3 linked regions of the Kluyveromyces lactis genome follow. The protein of the gene in region 1 purifies or fractionates together with the protein of each later gene. This does not show direct contact. Links are inferred from orthologs where the notes say so. Each region holds a gene or a part of one and is shown in the gene's direction. Other genes may lie near its edges.

Region 1 (3,175 bases):
TTACCAACTTATTCACTGATTGGCCCAAAACCGTCTACTTATTTATACAACGAGATTGAAGCTAGCAAGAAGGAAATACCGAATGTTATCCAAGATGATGTAGAAAGTGCACAATTCTGGGAAGCATTCTCTACTGAGGCTGAATCTAAGTTTACCAAGGAGGAATTGGAAGAGATTGCAGCTTTTGTCATGCCGAAAGATTCTTTTGATGAAAACAATGAAACTTATCAAAAGAGCAAAGCATTCAAGAAACTCGAAGCAGAACACAAGAGAGCCTACAGAATTTCAAAAGAACGTTTAGATAGATTCAGAAGTGCATTAAAACAATACGAGGGTACTTTTAACTTCCATAATTTCACCTTGGGGAAAGATTTCAACGATCCGAGCGCCAAGAGATTCATGAAGCAAATCACAGTCTCAGAACCGTTTGTTATTGGTGAAGCTAAGACGGAATGGGTATCGATCAAAATCCACGGTCAATCGTTTATGTTACATCAAATTCGTAAGATGATATCTATGGCAACTTTGATCACAAGATGTTTCAGTCCATTGGAAAGAATTAGGCAGGCATACGGTCAAGAAAAAATCAATATTCCAAAAGCCCCTGCTTTAGGTTTATTATTGGAAGCCCCGGTTTATGATGGTTACAACACTAGATTACAAGAATTCGGATATGATCCGATTGACTTCAGTAAATATCAAAGCGAAATGGATACGTTCAAGATGAAACATATCTACGATAAAATTTACCTTGAAGAAGTCAATGAAAACGTCTTCAACGCCTTTTTTTCGTACATCGACACCTTCAACCCTTCATATAATATTAGCCAAGAACAACAGCAGCTGAAGGGGCAAGAACTACAGCAACCCTCTCAAGCAGTGGAACTTGTTACCGAAGATTTGGAACAAAAGGCTCCATCAGATCCTACTCCATCCGACGAAAAGGGCAAAAAACCACAAAGGCCAATCTTTGATTTCCTCACAGCAAGAGGTATCCAACTACAGGATTAAGATCTTCTGTCCGACACCATTTATAGCATTGCGTGTTTCGTTCTTCCCTTTAATAGATATACTTCCATAGTTCTTAGTGTTTTCACGTGACACGTATATTTTATTTTCTCTTAAGCTTTAATGATTTCAATATCTGAAAAATTTTCGAAATTTGAACTACTTCAGTAGCAGGCAGACTTCAAGTGACATAGATAAAGAATAACAGAACTACGTGAAATAATCCACTTTAATAAGTCAATTTGTGTTGGTTTTAAGAATAATTACAGAAGTGTGATTTAGTAAAAAAGAAGCTATATTAGTGAGACGGATTTCACTTCTTTTTAGAGATATCCGGACCCGTAAGATATATTTCGATCATGTTGAGAATACATACCAGACAGTTCTCCTGCAGTGCTGCAGTAGAGGCTGCAGCTAAGAAGAAAGCCCAAGGGTTCGCTAAGGCTCAATCAGGAACTAAGGCAGCAGCCAAAAGAATTACTCCTGGTTCCATGTATAAGAGATGGCAACCAGCTGTTGCAACGGCTAATTTACATAAAAATGCAACTTTTGTCGATCTGCCCATGTTTAATCCTAATAACATCAGTGCCGCAGATGTCCATTCTTTCTCAGAGCAGCAATTACAATTCTTGTATCGTCTGGGTTCATTCAAGCAAAATCAATTCAATGAATTGTTCACACGTCCAATATCACTAGTTAGAGATTCCACCACTAGAAAATTGTACGAAGCCTTACGGAAGTCAGAAAACAAAAAGCTTGTTCTAACAGGTGAACCAGGTGTGGGTAAGTCTACTCTACTGGCCCAGCTACATGCTCACGCACTAGAAAACAAGGGACTTGTGTTAACTGTTTCCAACTCCGAACTTCTTACAAATGGTAGAAATGACTTCTTCTTGGATGAAGACAGATACATTCAACCAATGTACATCAAGAACTTATTAACCAAATTTGTCAAATCCAACAAAAAAGAATTATTGCAATCCATTAAACTCTCCAAAGACTATAAATTAGTTCACTCTGGGGGTAAAGACCTATCTGTGAAGAGAAATGTGAATTTATCTGCAGGTAAATCCACGTTATACGATTTACTAAGTGTCAAGGCACCATCTCGTCACCGTGGAGCCGTTTTCGATGCATTCATTAAAGAATTAACTAACCAAACTGATCATCCGGTCTATTTCACTGTTGATAACTTCTCCCATCTTTTGACTACACCATTCACAGCATATAAAGACACAAGCAACAAAAATATTCATATTTTAAAATTCCAGGTTGGTCAATCTATTTTTGATTTAGTCTCTGGCGATTTGCAATTCGCTGCTAAGGACAGCTGTGTTGTTTTGGCTACTTCGGGTTTGGATAGAACCAATAGAACGTTATCAATTGGTTTGCAAAAGCTTCCTCACGATCCATATTTGACCAGATACCACTATGAACAAATTTTGGCCGAAAAGTTACTAAAGGGTAAAGTACAGGAGTTCGAAGTTACCAAACTTAATAAAGATGAAGTTGCCAAATTGATGGAGTTCTACCAAAAGGCGGGTATCGTACTTGACAAAGATTTACAGAACAAAACCTTCGAACAGCTTACCGAAGAAAAGTACTTCTTAAGTGGTAATGGTAATCCAAGGGAATTGCTCAAGAGTATTACACTATATCCATTCTAATTGTACATATTATATATTACAAAAAAACCCATGTAAATACAGGAAAGAAATATAATATGAGCACATATGCTCGTGTATATGTTATGCTTTTAACTTGACGCAAGATTCTTAAATCTTCTGTCTTTTTGTGTCTGGCTCGTCATCAGACCAATTATCATCGTCATCGTCTACATATTTTGGTTGATCTTGCGACTGCTCTGGTTCGGTTGAATGTTGCTGCGACAGCGACGATCTCGCAGAAGCCTGATGGTTGAATTGTTTTTGTGCATTTTTCAGTCCTTGTTCACGTTCTTTCCAGCGAGATCTCATTTCATCTACCACTTGTTCTAGATCATCCAATGAAACAGAATCACCGATACTTTCCAAGACTTTTTGAACGACTGATACGTGATTACCATTGAGTTTATCGTCTCTGAACCTAAGTAGTTTCCATGCACCTGATTCCTGATCTTTGGAACATTCTACAATTCTTCCGTTCAATGGCTCCTCCATGGCCTTGA
Region 2 (4,017 bases), on another chromosome or scaffold:
TGTTACTACTTGGAACTTCAATCGTTGGAACCTCAGTTGCTGTAATGTTATGGAATGATTGCAGTGATGTACCGAAGACAAGAGACAAACCAACGCATACCAATACTTAACCTTTAACTTCAAATTCAATGACCAAACAACAAGGCTGAAAAGGATATGACAAATCGCAATCGTTCACAGTTCATTACATGGCTTTATTAAATGTGCTATATATGAATATGGGAAAAAAATTCCTGAAAGGCAACAAGGCAGATCGCCTAATTCATTGCACGTTCATCAATCCAGCATTCCCACTTATCAATATCATTTTTCAAAACGCTTCCCTCCTTAGCATCTACATTCCCATCAATTCTATCGAATTCGAATCCGGCTGAGTTTTGTTGAAGAACAGCAACCTCATCGTCATCATCGTCATTAGCATCGTCACTCAAGGACTTTTTCGAGTTTGCCTTCAAACTTTTGGCCTTTCTCTTCATGATTTCAGTTATTTCCTTCTCCAAAGCACCCTTGATCTTTGATGGAGGTCTTGCCACGAATGACTCAGATTTATTGCATGCCAACAAGATGTCAACTCCGTCTGGTCTTAATTCGGTGACAGATAATATTTCATACAATAGTTCTGCAGTACTGACCAATTCCTTAGGATTAATAGTAGAATCAATCACATAAATGAGCCCTTTCAATTGACTCGAATCCTTGATGGTTTGGAGCAGCTCAGAACGGAACTTGTCATGTCCTGGGAAATCGATCAATTTAAACTTGAAATTCTTATGACTAGTTGGTAACATGTAGTCTTCAGCCACATTGGGTTCTTGTGACATCACCGATGGTTTGACCGAGTCTGTGGTTAACAAATTGAACAATGCAGTCTTCCCCGTTTGCGGCAAGCCTGCAATGATGAAAGTGGGCGCTCTATTGGTGTATTTAGAAGCACCAGGAATCACGTTGGCACTCGTCTTTTGTACGATCAGCACAAATGCTGCACTGATCATAACAATAATGCATGCTAGTAAAATTGGTGTCGACAACATTGCCGATATATATTACGGTTTCGATGTTCAAGCCCCTAGAAACAGTCTTCAGATGCAACAGAAACTCACAGAACTAGCAACCCTAACTGAAATCACCGGGTCTCTATATGTCCATGTTGACTTTAAACTGTTTAACAAATTTATCAGGCTGAAAAGTTAAAAGAAAAAAAAAAAGATTTGAAAACCATTCTGTAAATTTGTATGAGAAATCAGTTGGAGATGCGATGAGATGGCGACGTTCAGTGGATAGAGAAACATAGATAGACTGACACCAGCCCAGACAAGAAGCTACCAATATGTTACGTTGCAGTCGAACGCTTAGCCCTCGAATATTCACTCGTATTCCTGTGTCAAGGTACTCTTCACTGGCCGATTTCCCGATTAACGTTAATGATTTAGATGCATCTACAAGAGATAATGCGCCAACCAGTTTTGGTTCTGTTGTTGATGACTCTCAGAAAGATAACGCAATAGTTATAGAGAGAGATCATTTGCTTTCGGATAAGGTTAAAGGAGATTACAGAGATCAAAATGGGAATCATTTACAAGGTGAAAATGCAGAGGAGGCAAGACTTCTACCCAAAACTCTTGAAGGACGGGTATTGAGAGATCAGATCCAATTGCCGTCTGTGATGAGTCAAGCAATCCAGAACAACATAATGTCTCTACATATACCTGGTAATCTAAGAAGAGCCGCATCCAAATATTTCGTGGAGTTATACGAAAGCTCCCTTCATCGACCTACATCATCGAACATCGAAGTGGATTCTCATATCGCATCAATCTTTGTGCAGAATTATGCTGCCATATATCAATCTTTATCAGAACTTAAGAAAAGGGTAGGGGAGAGTTTCAATCCTCAAAGAGTATTAGATGTTGGTTATGGGCCAGCCACTGGTATTGTTGCTTTGAACGATTTAATGGGAAAAGAGTACAGACCCAGAGTGAAAGAAGCCACTATCATAGGTCATATTGAGATGCAAAAGAGGGCAAAAATAATTTTGAGTAGACAATTGAATGAAATTCCAGACGACATGTTATACGGGGAAGAAGAGCCCACTGAGAATGTCGAAACGAAAGAAGAAGAAGCTGACAATATCGAAGGAGATGACGAGATGTTGGGAGAAGTAGCTACGAAGAGTATTCATATTAACACGAGGTTGCGTAAAGATGTTCCTGGTTCCAACGAATACGATTTGATCATCCTAACTCATCAGCTCTTAAGACACCAGGAAAGATTCCCAGCCCAAATCGATGACAACTTGGATCATTATTTGAAGCTTCTTTCCCCGAACGGACATCTAGTTATAGTAGAAAGGGGCAATCCAATGGGTTTTGAGATTATTGCAAGGGCAAGACAGTTCATGATCAGACCTGAAAAATATCCTGAAGAACACGGGAAGATTCCAAGACCCTGGAATAGAGGTAATAAGATGATGGGCAGAACCAGTTATCGTTCAGTGCCTGTTGAGAACGAAGAGCCCACACTTGAATCCTTAAACATAAATGATGACGAATATAAACAGTTAATGGAAAACTTGGATGCCAAATATGGAGAAATAAACAAACAAGATTTAGAATTCGAACCAGAACTTCTTGAAGCCATTGAAAAGGAAGATTCCAAAAGAGGAACATCTAGTGATGAAGAAAGTTATTTCATCAAGATCGTTGCACCTTGTTCACACCATAGAAAATGTCCATTACAGATAGGGAAACCTCATTATTACGATTTAGATGAAGGTTCGAAATTGAATTTCTGTAATTTCCAAAAGACTGTACTAAGGCCAAGATTTACTATTGAATTAAAGAAGGGCAAAGTGCTTGCTGCACCATGGCAAACTCCAACTGATGGTATCGGTATCAAGGGGAAATCTGCACCAGGCTCAGGTAGAAGAAATGGTAAGAGTTTTGAGATTATAAACTATTCATATTTGATTGCCCAAAGATCTTCAAAAGATCGAGCCACGACTGAAGCAATAAATCGTGAAAGAGAAGAAAATAAGATTAAGTACGATATTGGCTCATTGGGAGATGAAACTGCCAATACGTGGCCTAGAATCGTTAAACAACCTACTAAGAGAAAAGGACATGTGATTCTCGATCTCTGCGCACCATCTGGTAAATTTGAGAAGTGGATTGTCCCAAAATCCTTAGACAAACAGATATATCACGATGCTAGAAAGACTCAAAAGGGAGATTTGTGGACATTAGATGCAAAGACGAAACTAGCAGGCGGAGGTGCCTTAAATGTAAATAAATTTGAGAAACTGCATAAGGAAAAGATCAAGAAGATGAAGAGAGCTGTGAAATCAAAATCACGTGAATTGAAAGACATGGCAAATCAATTAGACAATGAAAGAGAACATATGGATCCCGAATCAGCTGTTGATACGTTAGCTAAATTCCATGAGCACAATTTCCAGTTATCGAATGCAAAGAAGGAGAAGAAATATGCCAACCGGAAATTGGCAGTGGATGAGTATTAAATCTTCCAGCGGAGGGTTAACAAATCAATTTCTTGTAAATAACTAATAACTACATCCCATTATAAAAGAAAGACACTGGGTCAATTATATTTATTTATTTATTTTAATTCAAATATGAATTTTACTTTAGCTTTAAAGGGAAGACATAACGTTCTAGTATATTACTATGTGGTTACATCCAAATACATATACCATACTACACCAGCATCACATTGTCAATGACATGCCAAATAAAACAGGCGCCACGGACCATAAAGAGCAGTGTAAAGAAGAGAAGTCAACTCGTAACTGTACAACAGAATGAATACGTTTTATGTTAAAATTATTGGTGTGCTATAGAAAGTGATTAATCTATTTTCTTCTGAAAGAAGTACCTTCAGACAACTTGGCCTTACCACCGGTTGGGGTACACAAGACGGTAGAGCATGATTCACAAGTGACAGCGGTTTGAGCGTGAGAGAACACAGTAGTGATGTTCAAACAACCTGGGCACTTGACAT
Region 3 (2,610 bases), on another chromosome or scaffold:
CAGCCTGGGTGTCCAATCAGTATTCACCAAGCAACATTTCTCCATGGCCGACACAAACTTTTGCAAACTGTGCACAGGGAAATATTGTAATGGATGGTAAGATAATTCGCATATCCGTTGAATCGTGAACGGATACTTATCTCTTTTTGCAAATTTCACAACAAGGTACCTCGATAGCTCTTTCAATCTGTGTAAAAGGTCTTCCTCTTGGTCCTCGTTATAATTGAAGATCTCCTTCGGTATCGTTATGCTGAAATGTTCAGATAGCTGTGGGATCAATTGCGAAGGCGATATTTCGTTAAACGCGCTTAGATCTTTATCGATAACTATTTTAGTCAAACGGTCGTATAGATGTCTGGATTTTATTCCCATCATATTGACAATGTATCTGATTAATGAGCTGATAGTAGGAAAGGCTGGCAAAAAAAAAAAAATTCTACGGTATAGTAATATTACACTTGGTTAGATCTCCTTGAAATGGCACTAACGAAAGATCGGTGTTCTCGGGGTATTCTAATTAGCACAAATAAGTCCAGTATGAGCGATGCCTTTTTTATTCCAAACTGGCAGATATAGAATAGATAAAAAGGATAGTCTCGGAAAATAATATGAAACAACGGACTTGTAACACCTAGTCCCAATAGACAGTACACGGTTAGCCAATCCCAGCTCAGCCAGCAGCCTTATAAAGTTCGTTCTCTAGTCTGTTGATTGACCGTTCTATCTTTGTAGCTTAGAAACCTACATGTTATTTGAACAAATTTCTTTTATTTATCATTTCACATAATATTGTGCGCATATAACAAATTTCACCAACTTTTCACGTAACGAAATGTGATATTATTTAAAGGATTTCACTTAAGAACGGCAGGAATTTTAACACTTAAGTACGGAAGTTCTAAAGATACTATAGTTACATACCTGAATACAAAATAGATCAACGACATCTTTACTATAATATTAAAGGCTAAGGTGTCTAATAAGGTACAGTCTATATAATATCATTAATTATTCTTGGCAAGCTTGTGCTCAATGCACTGACAGGCAAAACTACCAACGGCACATAGAAACAGATCATTAGTAGTCACGTGTATTTATGCGGGTAACACTGTTCACACTGGCTCATCTCTGAACCTTTGATCAAAAAAATTTACGATTTTCAAACCAAATTCAATATCATCATATTCTGGTGAAGTAAGCTTGAATTTGGATCTAATGAGAGTTACTCTTAGATTGAATAGGTTCTGGTTGTATTGTGTGTGTCCTTGTGTGGTCCTTGTGTACACTGGCATCTATTCAACGGAAATTGTACAGTATGTTGAGAGCAGGAAGGTTTAGTCTGAGTCACGTCCATGCTAACGTTTTGGCAAGAAGTCCACTTGTACATGCTGCCAGTATACCGACCATGCAAACCAGATTCCAAAGTCAATCTGTGAATAATAATGCGTCTACAGGGGAGAAATTAGCTAGCCTTAGCGACGAACAGGTTGATGAATGGTTGAAAGTTATTGGATCGTTAGAAGAAGAGTTTTCGCAACAAGATTATAACCCAGCTACGTCCCTTGCACCAGGTAACCAATCTAGAATTAATATCTTGGAGAAGGCTATGGAATTGAACAAGCCCAGCTTTGAGCCAAGTCAAGAGCAAATAAATGAATGGGAAACGTTGAAGCAAGTTCCCATTCCAAAAAAACAGGATCCAGTTTTACAGCATGTAACGAATATGATTATGAGACACGGGAAAAGAGAAAGAGCTGAGAAGATTCTTTCAAGAGCGTTATATATTGTGTTCTGTCAAACAAGGAAAGACCCGGTAAAAGTTTTGAAAGAATCCTTGGATGTGTTGGCGCCTCTTATGGTTATCAAGACCTTCAAGACTGGTGTCGCAAAGGCCACTGTGGTTCCAGTTCCATTGAATCAAAGACAAAGGTTTAGATTAGCTTGGAAATGGATTGTGGAAAGTTCTGTGAAGAGATCATCGAGCGATTTCTCAGTAAGACTTGGTGAAGAATTGGTATCTGTCTTCAACGGTAATAGTTCAGGTTTCGAAAAGAGAGACTCTATTCATAAGACTGCTATTGCACACAGAGCTTACATTAACCTAAAATGATCAAAGTTCCAACCTCCACTGTATTTACTTGAATAAACCTGTACATATGTATACGTGAAATATAAATGAACGTTATCGATTTTCATAGTTATGCTGAATTTGTTGCTCTATCTTATATGCAATTCCTAGGCCCAGCAGACTTCCCGAAAAATTGGCCAAAATATCGTTTACATCAAAGGACCTTTTTCCTCGTGAGAGGAACTGTTGTGCAAATTCACTGCTCGTACTGGCACATACGCAGCATACAATAAATGCCAATAGATATTTGTTCATGGAAAAAGGTTCGTACGCAGCCAAATTCCTTGATCGTAGTCTTTTGGGGATGAATGCCGGCAACTGTACGGTATCACATTCAAACATCATGGTAAACAGAACGGTTTCAATGCAAAATACTATGCAATGGGCGAGCTTATCATGAGTTGATGTTATTAGCTTTAACCTGGCATCAGTAGTTAATCCGAGGAAGACAACAAAACATACACTCGAGAAAAATGTTACTG

What was found.
Region 2: the proteins of RSM23 (region 1) and RSM22 purify together in Saccharomyces cerevisiae (affinity purification with mass spectrometry; 3 studies listed by BioGRID, with this or other methods). This does not show direct contact. The link is inferred for Kluyveromyces lactis from reciprocal best matches to the Saccharomyces cerevisiae genes RSM23 and RSM22.
Region 3: the proteins of RSM23 (region 1) and RSM7 purify together in Saccharomyces cerevisiae (affinity purification with mass spectrometry; 3 studies listed by BioGRID). This does not show direct contact. The link is inferred for Kluyveromyces lactis from reciprocal best matches to the Saccharomyces cerevisiae genes RSM23 and RSM7.

What each region holds. Positions count from the first base shown.
Region 1 is NC_006038.1:197,350-200,524, reverse strand, and holds RSM23 (mitochondrial 37S ribosomal protein mS29), read left to right. Parts: upstream 1-1,367; coding exon 1,368-2,675; downstream 2,676-3,175. Other genes in the region: pseudouridine synthase PUS1, read left to right, coding at 1-1,011; CEG1 (mRNA guanylyltransferase), read right to left, coding at 2,784-3,175.
Region 2 is NC_006041.1:1,031,375-1,035,391, reverse strand, and holds RSM22 (tRNA methyltransferase RSM22), read left to right. Parts: upstream 1-1,327; coding exon 1,328-3,517; downstream 3,518-4,017. Other genes in the region: KLLA0_E11727g (uncharacterized protein), read left to right, coding at 1-110; SRP102 (Signal recognition particle receptor subunit beta), read right to left, coding at 258-1,031; KLLA0_E11661g (40S ribosomal protein eS27), read right to left, coding at 3,869-4,017. UniProt on the Saccharomyces cerevisiae protein: Mitochondrial ribosome (mitoribosome) assembly factor. Binds at the interface of the head and body domains of the mitochondrial small ribosomal subunit (mt-SSU), occluding the mRNA channel and preventing compaction of the head domain towards the body.
Region 3 is NC_006041.1:512,170-514,779, forward strand, and holds RSM7 (mitochondrial 37S ribosomal protein uS7m), read left to right. Parts: upstream 1-1,315; coding exon 1,316-2,110; downstream 2,111-2,610. Other genes in the region: PSY4 (Psy4p), read right to left, coding at 1-375; KLLA0_E05765g (uncharacterized protein), read right to left, coding at 2,183-2,610.